Linked DNA regions of Tribolium castaneum. The protein of the gene in region 1 binds, or shares a complex with, the protein of each later gene. Links are inferred from orthologs where the notes say so. Each region holds a gene or a part of one and is shown on either strand. Other genes may lie near its edges.

Region 1 (7,723 bases):
GTTGGCAACGAATTTGAAATAATTCTACATTTTTTGCGGATTTAAGCCCCCCAAACCCATAAAACGCGGCACTCACTAACGCATTACGTTGCTCACTTGTGGGGGCACACGATCCTGGCCCCGTTAACGCCAAATAACACATTTTTTTACTGTGAGGTTATGTGACCAAAATTGGGGTATTAAGCCAATAAAACGCTCAATTAGGGCTTAAAAAATATATTGACACACGATACAGTACAGTACAAAACGATAAATCAGGTTATAGTCCCAACTCCTTGATCAAATTCCCTGCGATTACAAGTCGCTGTATTTCGCTTGTGCCTTCGTAAATTTCGGTGATTCTGGCGTCCCGATAGTGCCTTTCGGCCGGCATGTCCGAGACGTAGCCCATGCCCCCCAAAATTTGTATACACTGGTGGCTCAAATAAGTCGCAGCTTCGCTGGCCGCCAGCTTGGCCATGGCAGCCTCCTTGGTGAAGTTCTTGTGGTTGTCTTTAAGCCAGGCAGCCCTCCATGTCAAAAGCCGTGCCGCGTCCAAACGCAAGGCCATTTCGGCCAATTTATTTTGAATTGTTTGGAGCTTAAGGAGGGGCTTTCCGAAGGCCATCCGTTTGGAGGCGTATTCGGCAGCCACCTCGAGGGAGGCCTGGGCGATGCCTAGGGCCTGCGAGGCAATGCCGATACGGCCCGCATCCAGTGTCATCATCGCGATCTTGAAACCTTGTCCAGGTTCCCCCAAAAGGTTGGCTTTGGGGACTTGGCAGTCTTCGAAGATGAGGGAGCACGTGGAGGAGCCCCGAATCCCCAACTTGTCCTCCTTTTTGCCCAGTTCGAGCCCCTTTGTTGGCTTGGGGACGATTATCGCCGAAATGCCTGAATAAAAAATTAGAGTGGTTATGCAACCAATTATACAACCCGCACCTTTATGTTTTAAACTTTTGTCTGTTGTGGCCAAAACCACGGCTGCTTCACTCTCAAAGCCGTTAGTGATCCAGGCCTTGGTCCCATTGAGCATCCACTGGTCCCCGTCCAGCCTCGCCGTCGTGGAGGCAGCCCCCGCATCGGACCCGTTCCCCGGCTCGGACAGGGCAAAGCACCCCACCTGTAACACCAAATGAGCCCCTTTGCCTCAACTAACACAACACACCTTATCGCCGTTCGTAAACGGCGCGATAAATTTCTCCTTCTGTTCTTTATTTCCGAAATATTGAATCGGCCCTAAATACAACGAATTATTAACAGACATAATAACACCGGCACTGGCGCACCCTCTGGAAATCTCCTCCATGGCGATGGCGTACGCCACGTAATCTAGGCCCGTGCCCCCGAATTCTTCAGGGACGGCCACGGCCATGAGCCCCAATTCGCCCATTTTGCGGATCTGTTCTTTGGGGTACAGGTGCTCACGGTCGATTTTCGCCGCGATGGGCTTTAGCTCGTTGTCGGCAAAGTCGCGACAGGTCTTTTGCAACATTTGGTGCGTCTCAGAGAGGGCTGCCAGGGAGGCTATGCCCCGCGATTTGACTGCAATCAAGACGGCCGTGGATAAACAAATTTAGACGAATTAGGTAAAAATTACCATTTTGGGCCACAATTCGCGTGAAAACGAACATGATGTACTGTAAACTACACGGACGTGTACTTTGCTCGTTGATTATTAAATTGTTTAGTAAAAATTCCGTAAGTGGTTCCAAGGTTAGGTCAGCTGTCAAAACTGACAGCTGCATTTTTTACGAATTAATGGGCCCCCATTAAAGTCAGAGCCACGTTTTTATTGAGTCCAAGGGGCGCACGGTTAAATGGTCAATCAATAATTTATTTATTTATCAATTAAGGCGGGTTCTTTCGGCTCGTTGTGTTGGTAAGACGGCGTTATGGTGGTACCGCCTGTCATCTGTCACTTTCCTTTACACGGTTGATAGCCGAAGTCACCACGTGCGTTGTGGAAAAAATCAGCCTTTTTGAGTGTCCCAAGCGTTTAAAAACGTACGTAAAAGCGTAAAACGACCAAAAACATGCCTAGTCAAGTGTTTGTGGTGAAATTTTGGCGTATTTTGAGCAATGTTTGTGTTTTTCCAGATGCCGTTAGCAGTCGATTTATTGCACCCTTCTGCCGAAAAACAGAAGAAATCGCATAAGAAGAAGAGGTTGGTGCAACATCCCAATAGTTACTTCATGGACGTAAAATGTCCAGGATGTTACGCCATCTCTACCATCTTCTCCCATGCCCAGTCTGCAGTCCCCTGCAAAGGGTGCTCCACCATCCTGTGCACATCCACCGGGGGCAAAGCCCGACTCACGGAGGGCTGCAGCTTCAGGAGAAAGCAACATTAATGTAGTGTATTCATTTTTTCTAATAAATTTTATTGGGAGTAGCCGCTTTTTCATTCATCCTTCCAGCCACCGAATGGCCTTATTATCTCTTACACGCAAAAAAGGGAAAATGTAGCAAAATTGTGCAATGTTCTAGCGCCCGGAAATTGGCCTAGTGCCAAAAAATCAATAAACACAAGACCAAAAACCAAAAAGTCGTCGCAATCTATTCATTCAACCATGTCATTTGGCCCCAAATCCACAAAAAAAATAACTGCAGGTTCAGACCAGTTGAGACACGTTAGGCCAGTTGACACTTGTCAAAAAACATAACCACACTTATCAATTAATTAACGACTATCCAAGCCGTAGAATGCCCCCAAAGGGCGCAATTAAAGCCAAAACCCCTCAACCAGCCTCAATAAATAAAACAATCAAGTATTAATTATCGTTTTATTCAAAATCGTGGTCAAGCCGGAGCCGGTAAAGTAGATCGCTGTCGCGAGAGCGCACATAACCCCAAAAGTGCCGTAAACAAAGCCGGTTTGTGCGTGAAAATGTCGTTTAAGAAAGGCGTGGACCCCAAGGTGTTCCGCGCCATCCAAAACGTGGACATGCACCAGCTGTCCGAATGCACCGAGGTGGAGATCCGCCCCGTGTTGCCCTGTCTCGTGCGAATGGGGCTCATCTCGCCCCTCGACACGTCGAAAAAATGCACCACCATGAAGGTCGACATTCTCACAATCGTGTCCGGGATGGAACTGGTCAATTCGATCGTTGCCCTTCTTTCCATCGATTTCCATCGACTGGAAACCGAGGTCAAGAAGGAGCAGCAGCTGCGCCAGAAGGGCGTAGCCCTCCAGAACGACTCGATCCTGATCGGCAACTTATCAAACACCAGCATGGCCTTGGAGTACGAACGCAGCGACATGACCCGCCGTTTGAGCATCTTACTCGGGGAACTACTCTACGTCCAGAGCCAAATCCAGGACGAAAACTCGGACACGAGCTACATCAAGCCCTCGGAACTGTTCGACAACGACATTTTCGCCGAGGAATTGTCCGATATTATCTGCATAGCCTTGGCTGAACTCCCCATAACTCTAAACATTTTGACAATCACTGAAACCCTCCTCCACTTGCACAACGGCCCGCCCATCATTTGCCGAATCGTGGCGAACTTCCCCGACTGCTTCCGAGAGGTTTGCACCTACTTGATCCAAACGGGGGAAAAACAGGAAGAAACCAAACTGAGCACAGTCCGAGCCGCCACGATTTCCCTCCTCTGTAAAATGAATCCGAGCCAGGCTTTGACAATCCGAAGCAAGTGCGTCGAATTGTGCCGAATGCCCGCGCTCGCAATCACACTATCTCTGGACGGCGGGGAGGGGGACATGGTGGCGTTCATCTCCGGGCTGTTGCTAGGCAACGACCAAACAATACGCAACTGGATCGCGTTATTTATCCGGACTGGACAGAAAAAGAAGGGGGAGATTTCAAGCACCGCCCTTTTGCAACTAAGGGAGGAGTTGTTACGTCGCTTGCACGTGATTCTCGCCGCTTCTGTCGAAGGCCACCTATTGGACAGTCTCGTGGTTCAAGGCTCCGCCCTCTTGCGCCTCTATTGTGCGCTTCGCGGGATCGCAGCAATCAAGTTTCAGGAGGATGAAGTCACGGCATTGGTGCGTCTGTTGACGTCACACCCAAGCCCCACCCCGGCGGGCGTTCGCTTCGTTTCCATTGGTCTGTGCATGTTGATTGCCTGCCCCTCGCTGATTTCGCTGCAAGAGCACGAGCGACGTAGCATCGAGTGGGTGCAATGGTTGGTGAAGGAGGAGGCGTATTTTGAGTCGGCCAGTGGCGTTACTGCCAGTTTTGGCGAAATGTTACTACTGATGGCTATACATTTTCATAGTAACCAGTTGAGTGCCATCTGTGATTTGGTGTGTGCCACTTTGGGGATGAAAATCCCCATCAGACATAACAACATGACAAGGATGAAGCAAGTCTTCACGCAGGAGATTTTCACGGAACAAGTTGTAACCGCACATGCGGTTAAGGTTCCGGTTACGAACTCGTTAAGTGCGAATATGACCGGGTTTTTACCCATACATTGCATCCATCAGTTGCTTAAATCGCGCGCGTTTGCCAAACACAACGTGAATATAAAAAACTGGATCTATAAGCAGATCTGTACGAGTGTTAGTCCCTTACATCCAGTGTTGCCAATGCTAGTGGAAGTGTACGTTAACAGTGTTATAATGCCAACCTCACGGAACACTGAGACTAATAAGCCGTTGAGTGAGAATGAGATACGGCGCGTGTTTCAAAGTTCGATCTTTGGACAGTATTTCGACCACAAAAAGTCGATTTTTACCATGGATTTTGACCTAAATAGTGAGAATCAGGACGTTGTGGTGGATGGTACAAGTCTCACCCCACAACTCCTCCTCCTCTACTATCTCCTCCTGTACGAGGACTGTCGATTGGTTAACGCCCACATTTTGGCCGCGTTTAACCGCAAAATCAAGTTGTATAGTTCCGAATTTTTATCGGAACTACCAATCAAATACTTGCTACACCACGCCCAAAAAGACCAAAGCTCCTATTCGGGTCTTTTCGGGCCGTTGCTCAAACTCCTAGCTACGCATTTCCCCCACTTGACACTAGTGGAGGATTGGTTGGACGATATGTCCATCAAAACGGAGCATAAGCCAACCCACGTGACGCAAATAAGCGTCATTGAGGCTTTCAATGACTTGGACACTAACCCATCAAAGTGTGCCAAGCTTATGCAAACTTTACTCAAACAGCAAGCCATAGATATATGGCCATTTGCCGAGATTTTCACACAATTCGCCCGCAAGATCCTAAATGACAATGTCCCACGCTACTTACAAGACCTGTACAGAGACGTATGGTTACGCTTTAATACGGTACTTCCCCGCCGATTGTGGGTTCTAACCGTCAAAAACCTAGTCGATGATTTCTCAAACCTGACACGAATCGATGTCGCTGAGGATCCTCTCCAGATCATGCGATGCGATGAGCGTGTTTTTCGCTGTGCCCCTTTATATGCGATTGTTTTGAGGGTGTTGAGAGCAAGTCTCGCGTCGTCTCGCAGCCAACTAATGCAACATTTGCAAGCTAATCCGAGATTGGATCATGCGGGGCAAGTTTTAAATGAGAGTGATAGAGAGGAGATGTGTCGGGCGACCATTGCAGCACAGGAAAGTGCAGCTGTTCAAATGCTACTAGAAACTTGTATTGAGACAGATGAGGATCGTACGATTGGGGGGCAAAAGTGGGCACTTCAGGAAGTTAGGTCGTTGGTTTGTAGTTATCTACACCAGGTTTTTATCGCGGATACGATGTTGGCCAAACTGGTACACTTTCAGGTGAGTGATTGTGTACATCGCACTCGATATGGAATACACAGCGTGTTTCGTCTAAACCCCAAAGTTCTAATAAAGATATTTATCTGAAAGTTGGTACTCGGCCAAAATCCGTTGAGTTCAGTTGAAATGAAAATCTTGAAAATATTTTCAAGATGGTGGCACTTTTGGTTATACCGGAAGTTACTACTAACTTTCTTATTTTAAATGGAAATCTATGTTTTTTATTGCGTTTTTGGATTAGTTGAGTTATTTTAAGGCCGTTTTTATCAGCTTTCCCTATACCTAAGTTTAACCGTTTTCGAGATATTTAAGATTTTTTGAAAATTTTTGGATTTGCACCTGTCACTTAAAAAGTCGGTAACTCTTTTAGTTTTGAAGATTTAGAAAAAATGTTTGGAGAATTAAAAGACAAGGCTTACATCTGTCCTCCGGTGTGTTCAGAATTGGAAAAGAAGTTAACAAACCCAAAAATTTTAAGCTTAAGTTTGGACAACTTCAAGTACCCGTAACTTAATTTTTTCAAATGGGATGTCCTAATTTTTATTTTACTAGATGGAGGAGAATTTTTTTCTGCATCGATCTGTATTAGCATTCCCTATACCTATCTGTGATAATTTTCGATTTATGTTGGTTTTTTTGACATTGTAGAAAGTTTCTTACTAACCACAGCTATTTTTGCTCAAAATTCTGTTGTCCTTAAACCCATAGACCAAGCTCTTTACATCGCGCTCGATATGGAATATATTATTATGTTAAGACCAATAATTTAATTCGCACGTGTGAATTTAAATAATCATATTTATTGTGTTATTACTATATATTTAATATAGTTTTTGACGTTTATTTCAGGGCTATCCAAGCGAGCTGATCGAGGTGATGGTCAAAGGCGTGCCCTCCATGCACATCTGTTTGGATTTTTTGCAAGAATTAATGCAACAGCCAAGTCTCGATAAACAAATTTTTGCGATACAGTTGTTATCACACTTGTGCATACAATACGCGCTGCCCAAAAGTTTAAATTTATGTGTGGCAGCACTGAATCTACTTTACGCCCTACTTGGAAGTACGTTTTTTTTTTGGTGTGAAAATTTAGCAATTTTGTTTTCTTAGGTTTGTCGAGTAGTCAAAGGGTGCGCCTATTTCGCCCGATTTTACCCGCCTTGGTGCGCATAAGTGAAGCTTTCCCGCCATTGGTTGACGATATCGTCAATCTAATGATGCAATTGGCTAAGGTTTGCAAATCACAGGCGTCGCTAGCGTCGCATTTTGACGTCCACTTGGGCAAAGAGTTGGAAGTTTCAGCCGAGGAAAGCAAGGAGTTGTGTGTGTTAGTACAGGAGACGTTTAGTGATATTTTGGATAGGGCTGTCTTCAAATCGAAGATTTATAAGCAGGAATAAAGTTTGAAAAAAAAGTGAATGCGTTTTTATTTATTTGTTAACTTCAAGCACCCATAACTAATTTTTTCAAATGGGATATCTCAATTTTTTTCTACTAGATGGAGGAGATTTTTTTTCTGCATCGATCGGTATTAGCATTCCCTATACCTATCTGTGATAATTTTCGAGTTATGTTGGTTTTTTTGACATTGTAAAAAAATTCTTACTAACCACAGCTATTTTTGCATGGTTGGCTATAAAAACATTTCTGATTAAACAAACGACAAACTCTGTCAAAATTGTGTTGTCCGTCCTGCGAAAACAAAATAAATTCATTAAAAAAATTTAATTTCTCACATTTTTTCCATGTCAACCTATGAGAAAAAGCTAATGAATTTCTCAATCCTACAACTGCAAATTTAGTTTTAACAGATAATTAATTTCTTTATAGCTTTGTATGTGTAATAAATAATTTTTTGTGTGCCTAAAAGCCGAAAAAATCGTGCAACGCTCTAAATAATTGAAAATGCGTTTTTTTCCCGCCAATGATGTTTGGTTTAGTGGCGCCCCCCCCGGTAAAACTTGGTGACTTTGCGTTTGTCCCCACGTCAGCTTGACCACCGTCTGCCGTCA
Region 2 (7,743 bases), on another chromosome or scaffold:
TCCAAATTCTACAAAATTTAAGTTTATTTCAATCCAACTAATTCCTAATTACTTGGAAAAAAAAGAAATGTTGAGCTTAGTGCTCTTAACAGACTGAGAAAAATTGACGACTAAAATTTTCATAAGAAACAAATTATTTAAAATTTGCGCCCGTCCCGTGTTTTTTTAATGGAAATATATAATTTTCTACAAATTTCTTCCTAACATTTTTTTTGTATCTTTAACCATTCGCAGCGTTTTGAAAAATATGGGGTAGAGAGTAATATTTTTTTCGAATTCACGGTAATGGAACTGCGCCCTCTACTGACATTGACAGAACTATCAAGGATGGGGATTTTATTTGTATGTCGTATCCTGATCTCTAGATATCCGTAGACCCACCTTATCCAAATCCTTGCTTTTGGAATTGTTCTGTATCTGCGAGGTCACAGTGACTATGACCTCCTCGATTTTGCGGAAAAGCCCCGGTTTCATGCCGTGTTGAATCACCCCTTCGACTTTCACAGCCAACTGGGAATTGGCTTGGACACTTATGAATTCACCCATGACGCGAGGTTGGGGTGAAATGGCCAACTTGACGCTGGTACATTGCAAAACTTGGAAGAAATACCGTGGAATAGGCAACGAAGCATTTGACAACACTTCGCAGATTTTCTTCAACAACTCAATGTGCTACAATTTTAAATAAAACACACAAAAACGAAGCGAATTTAAGTACCCGGTGCGTTATTGTAGTCATTGAAGAGCCATCATCAAGAGCGTGCGCAACTGTTAAAGCATTGCAACAAGCTTTTGTCAACTGTTGCGATTCGAGACGTGTTTCACGCGATCCGAATTCAATCGGATCGTCACGGATTTTTGATCCGTTGACACAAATACTTTCCACGCTTTGCTCCACAAGCACACACATTTGTTGCAAACTGCAAAAACACACGTTAAAAATAACTAAATGTACAGAAAAAAACAAACGAACACACATTTGCATATTTTCTAAGGTGGCAGGGTCAGCGTCGAACGCAGTTTGGTACAGCTTCCAGTAGAGGTCGCCACAATTTTTAAACTCTTTCACACACTTTCTCAACTGATTCGTGATATATCCGTGTCTTTGATACTCATCTCGCGTGTTTTGGACGATAGTAGCGGCAATCGCAGGCGGCGGGACTATACACAGGGTGTTGCAAGTATAAATGAGTTGGATCAAAGACTGGAGAAACTCTGTACGGATTCGCATATACTCCGCTTGGAATTGTAAATTATGTGAGGGGGTACTAGCCGCCTGAAACAGTGCGTAACAATCACAAACCAAAAGTCGGTAAAACAGGAACCTTCAAAGCCGCGATGGCTTTATTGTAATGTATGATCGCCCGTTCCAAGCGATTTACCAAACTATCGTCCGAAGTGAGTAAAAACGACTCGGCTTCCGACATTTCCTTCAAACAAACCAACCAGAAATGGAAATGTTCAGAACTGACTTGTTCCGTCAGTTGGTTGAAAATCGTATTTGCGATTTTGTGGTGGCCGTATCTGACCGCAGCCCGCGCTATGCAATAATTCGCCCACAGATTGTTATTTTCAATAACGCAAAAAATCGCACTTTCGGTTTCTTCGTTCCAGGTGTAGTCAGACATGCTTTGGAAAACCAGCGTACAAAGCATGATTTTGATGCGCGTTTGTTGCTCCGTTGGTTGGTCGATTTCGGATAAAGCGCGCAATAAGTTGAGAATACTGGCGAGAAGCGAGAGTAAAGTGTCGGGTTTGAGGCCCCCAATAGCCCCCAAAGTCTCACAGATGACGATGGTACAGTCGTCTGTAAAAAATCGATTTGATTTGTTCTTGAACCATAATTGAAATAACATACTGTGTATGTTGTCGAGGCGAGTGCCGAGCAGTTCCACAAACGTCTCGCAATATTCTCTCCGCGCTTCGCACAGTCGAACAGCACATTTCAGTGCCAGCTTGAGCTGTTTTGGGTGTTTGTCGTTCGAAAAAGTCAAAAGCAAAATTAAAGTTTCGAGGGCCGAAATCACTTCGTCCGCTCTTTCAGTCTCCAGTTTCTCCTTGTAGCTAAAAATACGACTGTTTTTTGTTCTTCCTGGGTAACGGAGGACTAAACTATTAGGGGGCGACAGGTGTAAAAGTCAGTTTTAAAATTTTGCACAATAAAACGACAATTTAATTTGAAGCAAGAATCAAATAATTAAAAAAAAATACAGAAAAATTGCCTTTATTTTAAATGTGTATTAGAATAGTGTAATTACAAATACTTATTAAGATTTCGTTAAAATGGTTTCTCTGGAATTTTTGCTCAACAAATAAGTTTTAACAAAAAAAAAGTGACGTAGGCGTAACAAAAATCAGTGAATCAGACAAACTTCTTTGTTTTCCACCTCGTAATAATTAGTTATCTCAAATAGTATATTTTGTACTGGTAACGTGTTATCCATATTCTTACACAATTCGTTGGCTAGTGTGTGTTGATTGTGGTTAGTGTATGCTACTGGATAGGATTTCAAGGGAGAAAAAAAGGAAACAATCCGGATTTAGGGGTCAGTCTTTAGTTTTTTCTTTTTAGAAAGATTACATTATTATCTAAAAATTTAATGGCACATTTCCAATCTCTAATAAGAGTTGAAAATACCTTTATTTGAGGTATTTTGAAGAGTTGTCTGTACCATGTGATCATTTGAATTTATTAGTTTTATAATTTGTATGAAAACGCTAATTAACATAATTAAAATCAAGCTGAAAAGTCAAAGTGAGTCAAATAAAACACTAAAAGGTGTCTCTGGTTAAATAAAAATTGACCTGTCTCGGGATGTTTTAATTTTTTGTTTATTTTCTGATACTCAGGGCAGCTCGTTTTTTAAAAATCACACTGTATATGGTATTATTAACACCTTGTACTTATTTTATTTTTTATTTATAGATTTATCATCTCCTTAGCTTCAAAAAACTTCTATAATTCTATAATTATTAATAAATAAATTACGGCGAATTCGATACTGAAATAAATATGGAACAAATTTCAAATTAAAAAAATCTCTTGTTTGGGCAAATTTTATTTGTTTCACAGCTTGCTAAAAAATTAAGTCTTAACATTCCCGCATCAAATAATTTAAGACAACGATTTTAAACATCATTTCGCCCCTTAGTTTTGCCCTCCGTACCTATGAGAAAACTCACCAGTAGCATAAAAGTTGTGTCAAAATTTGTATAGCTTGCACTGCGACTGTAGGCTGTGACGAATAACAATGTTTCATACACAATTCTCTCAATTTTGAATTGCTGTCGCGATAATCATGACACATTCGGGGCGATTCAGTCAAGACTTGAATCACACCTAATCATCAATTAATCAGTTTGCAAAACAAGACCTCAAATCGTCTTACCAAGAGCCAGGGTTAATAACCGGGCTTGATGCGTGTGTAAAGTAAAATCTATGATATTGTTGGTGGCCCCCGGGGGCCACAAATGAGCCCCCGGTTTGGCGAACTGGTACAAAAATTGCAAACATCTCGACTTGACTTCACTCCCCAAGTCTTTGCGTAAATATTGCAACAGTAAATTGACCTAAAAGACAGTTTTGGAGAATATTGGAAGACAAATTAATGAAATTACTTGACTCGGGACGTCAACTAGAGTCGCCGTTGCCAACTGGGTAAGTGTGTTTAGAGTGACCAAAACGAAGTCTTTGGCTGGATAACTTGGCAGTAAATCGATACAGAGTGTCCTCACCATCGCAGCCGTGTTGGTATCATGGTGCATGTATTGTAAAATTGGGATTAATTGTAATTTCATGCTGGCAGGCGTTGACTGGCCTTGGATCATGTCAGAGACTTTGTTGCACATGCTTACGGCGAATGTTCTACAAATTATTGTTAAAATAATGAATTCTGAGCAACTTTTACTACTTTGATTGGGCGGCAAACTGAATAGCGGCGTAAATTGCAGCTTGGACTTCCACATTATCGTGAGAATCTAGACTGCTTCTAATACTGTGGTGCACTTGCTGTCGCTCCGGAATGATGGCAGCCACGGCCCCAAACGTCCTCAGCGTCACAGCACGAGCAATAGGGTCATTACTATGAATCACACTGTAAATCCTTCTAACGAACTCATCAACACTCGAAATCTTATCTAGATGTTTTTCGCTTTGTTGGCACACACGCAACACGCACAGTCTTAGGAAATTGTTACTAAAAACAGTGCCATTAAATAGAGTTATTTACAGTAGAGAGTTGTACCCCATGCGAAAAACTTCCGCTAATTTCAGTAATGACGCATTGATGAGGATGGGGAAAGGATATTTTTCGAATAACTTTGGAAAACGAACAATTGCTTCGCATTGCTCGCCCACTTTACCGGACCGGAGCCCTAAAAAGACACTTTTAAAGAAGGCACTCAATACCGCGCTTTGAACCTTTGTCAAGCTCGGTTAAAGCCGAATTGGCGTCTTGCTCGGGCTCTCCGAGACCGTTTTCATTGAAGGCACTCACGCGGACGCTCAGCATTTTGGAAAATCGCTGGAATGTTGTTAGTAGGCAAAACAAATATAACCTGGAATTTTTTTAATCTTACGGGTGAAATATTTCACGCCAGTTGGGTCATCAACTCGTGAGAAAATTACAAAGTGGGGGCCACATCGGCATTCATGTCACAAAATCAATAAACGCGTTCAACATCCAAACTTTTATTTTTTGGTGTTTTTAGCATAGTTTTTAGGTTAGTTTAACCTATGTTGGGAACATAGAATAAGAGAGAAAAAAATGGTGCTGGCACCAAGAACATTACAGTCGACCAGACAATCGCTGCGTGCATGGAGCTAGCACCATGTCCCCACTATTCTCGTTTTCTACAGCCAAGTTCACACCAGGCAAATTATCAAAATAATTGTAAATCATTATAAAAACATCAATAAGCTGTTACGCTGACTTGCATCTCACATTTGTAGAACATCTCCTGTATTTAATTTCTGCATTTTTTATTCTCATATTCAAGCAACGCAAACTGTTTTTTTTCACCCCCTTTATATCCTGCAATTTTCTTTATTTTTGCAGGGGATTAAGCCCTTCGATAGGGCCTTCGACTGTAAAAAAATCATGTTCGGATAAAGTCCCCTTGAGATCTTAATGAATTTTTAAAAATTCTTTAAAATTTTCATATTTCGCAAACTTTATCTTTAAAAATTCATTACAGTATTCAGAATGGCCCCCGAAAAGCGAATGAGTTATTACAGAAAAGGAGGAAAATAGTAAAAATAATGAATAAGAATTTTGCAAAATGCTCTTATAGAAAAGTTGTTGTACTTTATGTTTTATTACGTGGTAAATTTAGCACACGTCAACACGCCCTTTATAAACGATTAAACACCCTTTTTAATCAAAATGTTTAACACGAAAAGTTCAATTTTGTCCTATATACATTTCAATAAATCACACTGAAGTTTAAGTCGTTGACTCAAAGGTAGATTTATCTGCCCATAATATATTCAATCAAAATTAAAAACGCTCTAAAAGAGCAGAAACGAACACGAAATCCATAAAAATGAAAGATTTAACATTTCCAAATGATAACATAACCCTACTTTTAAAACCGAATTTTCTGGAGACCTAAAATTAACACAATTTGTGGCAATACCACTAATTTTCACACCAAAATTTCATTCACCGGCTCGTTTGTACTAATGAAAAGAGGAAAATAGTGAAAATAATGAATAAAAGTTTTGCAAAATGCTTTTATAGAAAAGTTGTTGTACTTTATGTTTTATTATGTGGTAAACTTAACACACCTTAACATGCCCTTTATAAACGATTAAATACCCTTTTTAATCAAAATGTTTAACACGAAAAGTTTATTTGTGCCCTATATACATTTCAATAAATCACACTGAAGTTTATATCATTGACTCAAAGGTAGATTTATCTGCCTTTCAATTCAATTTAATAATAATTAATAACGTTCTAAAAGAGCAGAAACAGACACAAAATCCATAATAGTGAAAGATTTCATATTTCCAAATGATAACATAACCTCACTTTTAAAACTGAATTTTCTGGAGATTTAAAAACACAACTTGTGGCGATACTACTAATTTTGACACCAAAATTTCATATCACAGGTTCGTTTGTACAAAGGAAATGAGAAAAATAGTGAAAATAATGAATAAAAATTTTGCAAAATGCTTTTATAGAAAAGTTGTTGTACATTATGTTTTATTACCTGGTAAACTTAACACTCGTTAACACACCCTTTATAAACAATTAAACGCCCTTTTTTATCAAAATGTTTAACACGAAAAGTTCATTTTTGCCCTTTATACATTTCAATCTCACTGAAGTTTATGTCGTTGACTCAAGGTAGATTTGTCTGCCCACAACATATTCAGTAATAATGAATAACGCTCTAAAAGTGCCGAAAAGCACACAAAATCCATTAAAGTTATAATTTAACACTTTAGAAGAGAACATAACCCTGCTTTCTGAACTTTTGTCTCTATCTGGCAATAGCACATAAATTTTTGACGCAAGGTAGATTTTTCTGCCCTAAATATCCTATCACAACGCTCTGAAAAGGCAGAAATGGATAAAAGTGTAAATTTTGTCATTATCGGGTAACAACATAACCCTACTTTTCGAACCTACCGAATTTTCAACAAAACAACCCAAACAAACAATTTGTGGCTATACGCATTGCGATACCACTAATTTTCGCACCAAAATTGTACATTGCCAGTTTCTGTTTAAATAAAAACATGCATTTTTATTTTTCCATTAACTGCATGCGAAACTTATAATTTTAGACGTTTACAGGCAAATACATTTGACATAATTAATTTTTCTAGATTAATACTGTTCTATTTTGAATAATTCTGTGTATGAATGTCTCTAAATTTGATGGATTCTGCCAGTGAATGTTTCTGGTGACGACTATTTTAGACTTGAACATGACGTCACATTCGTGACGTGTCCCGAGGTTAGGTGTGCGGCGCAGGCGGCGAGAGCGCTTCAGTCGACAGCGAGCGGTGGCACGGGTCAGATCGGAAGCGGGAAGCAGGAGGCGAGGCGAGGTGAGGCGGTTTATTTAAATTATTGTGCCGTTTCGTTCAATTTATTCAGTTTGTTACTTGCCGTTGTCGCGAACGGACGTGTGCTCAAGCAAATCTAAATTTTTCGGTTTGAATTTTAAATTCGGTGATCGCGTTTAGTGTGTGTGTGTGTGTGTTAGTGCCAATGGAATGGACTTTAAGGAGGAAACAATCCGGATTAAAGGGTAAGTTTGCAGTGATTTATTTTTAGAAAATTAAATCAAATCTGTGATATTTTCAACTAGTAATTTAAGAGCACATTGTTCTAATTTCATTGTTTCTTCTATTGCAGTAGGTCCGTTTAAGAAGAAGATGGCATCGGAACAGAAGACAAAGGTAGGTTCTTTTTTTTTTTCATTTGCGGTTAATTTATTTTCATTGTCTTGCTACAAACGGTAGCAGACGTGCGTTTTAATATTTTTAAATGCGGTGTTCAAAAGTCATAATTTGAGTGACACGTTTTAAATTCAGTAACTATAAATAAAATAGAACACTCAAATCATTTATTGCCACGTATTAATTTTGGCTTTAATTTCAATGAATGAAAGTGGCTTGTTCAAAATTTAATGCAAATAAAATTTTTTTTTGGTTTCATTATTATTATTATTATTTTTTATGCTACAAACGGTAGCCAACGTAGAAGCGATATACAGGTACGT

The links. The genes of interacting proteins can lie anywhere in the genome.
Region 2: the proteins of IntS2 (region 1) and defl are in contact, whole or in part, in a cryo-EM structure (PDB 8RC4), measured with the Homo sapiens proteins. The link is inferred for Tribolium castaneum from reciprocal best matches to the Homo sapiens genes INTS2 and INTS7. Residues at the interface, in NP_065799.2 of Homo sapiens: Gln27, Lys28, Val29, Cys48, Arg51, Met52, Cys55, Ala56, Ala58, Asp59, Gln60, Ser61, Trp64, Phe92, His93, Ala186, Glu187, Pro189, Ile194, Val218, Asp220, Ser221, Asn223, Glu224, Ser259, Leu262, Lys263, Arg265, His285, Gly294; in NP_056249.1 of Homo sapiens: Leu38, Gly39, Glu40, Cys42, Glu43, Val46, Arg47, Asn77, Phe78, Leu81, Cys82, Leu84, Lys85, Gln88, Gln89, Asn114, Asp115, Pro116, Val117, Ala120, Ile121, Arg124, Val153, Glu156, Val159, Phe160, Ala163, Leu195, Lys196, Pro199.

The regions. Positions count from the first base shown.
Region 1 is NC_087401.1:16,827,408-16,835,130, forward strand, and holds IntS2 (integrator complex subunit 2), read left to right. Parts: upstream 1-2,754; 5' UTR 2,755-2,870; coding exon 2,871-5,711; intron 5,712-6,560; coding exon 6,561-6,774; intron 6,775-6,821; coding exon 6,822-7,111; 3' UTR 7,112-7,132; downstream 7,133-7,723. Other genes in the region: Arc42 (short-chain specific acyl-CoA dehydrogenase, mitochondrial), read right to left, coding at 260-873, 922-1,102, 1,148-1,524, 1,580-1,727; RpS27 (small ribosomal subunit protein eS27-like), read left to right, coding at 2,080-2,334. UniProt on the Homo sapiens protein: Component of the integrator complex, a multiprotein complex that terminates RNA polymerase II (Pol II) transcription in the promoter-proximal region of genes.
Region 2 is NC_087397.1:6,153,913-6,161,655, forward strand, and holds the start of defl (integrator complex subunit 7), read right to left. Parts: upstream 4,774-7,743; 5' UTR 4,579-4,773; intron 4,524-4,578; 5' UTR 4,512-4,523; coding exon 4,421-4,511; intron 4,375-4,420; coding exon 4,245-4,374; intron 4,197-4,244; coding exon 3,912-4,196; intron 3,866-3,911; coding exon 3,619-3,865; intron 3,571-3,618; coding exon 3,390-3,570; intron 3,341-3,389; coding exon 3,184-3,340; intron 2,077-3,183; coding exon 1,859-2,076; intron 1,808-1,858; coding exon 1,326-1,807; intron 1,277-1,325; coding exon 978-1,276; intron 921-977; coding exon 719-920; intron 673-718; coding exon 382-672; intron 9-381; coding exon 1-8. UniProt on the Homo sapiens protein: Component of the integrator complex, a multiprotein complex that terminates RNA polymerase II (Pol II) transcription in the promoter-proximal region of genes.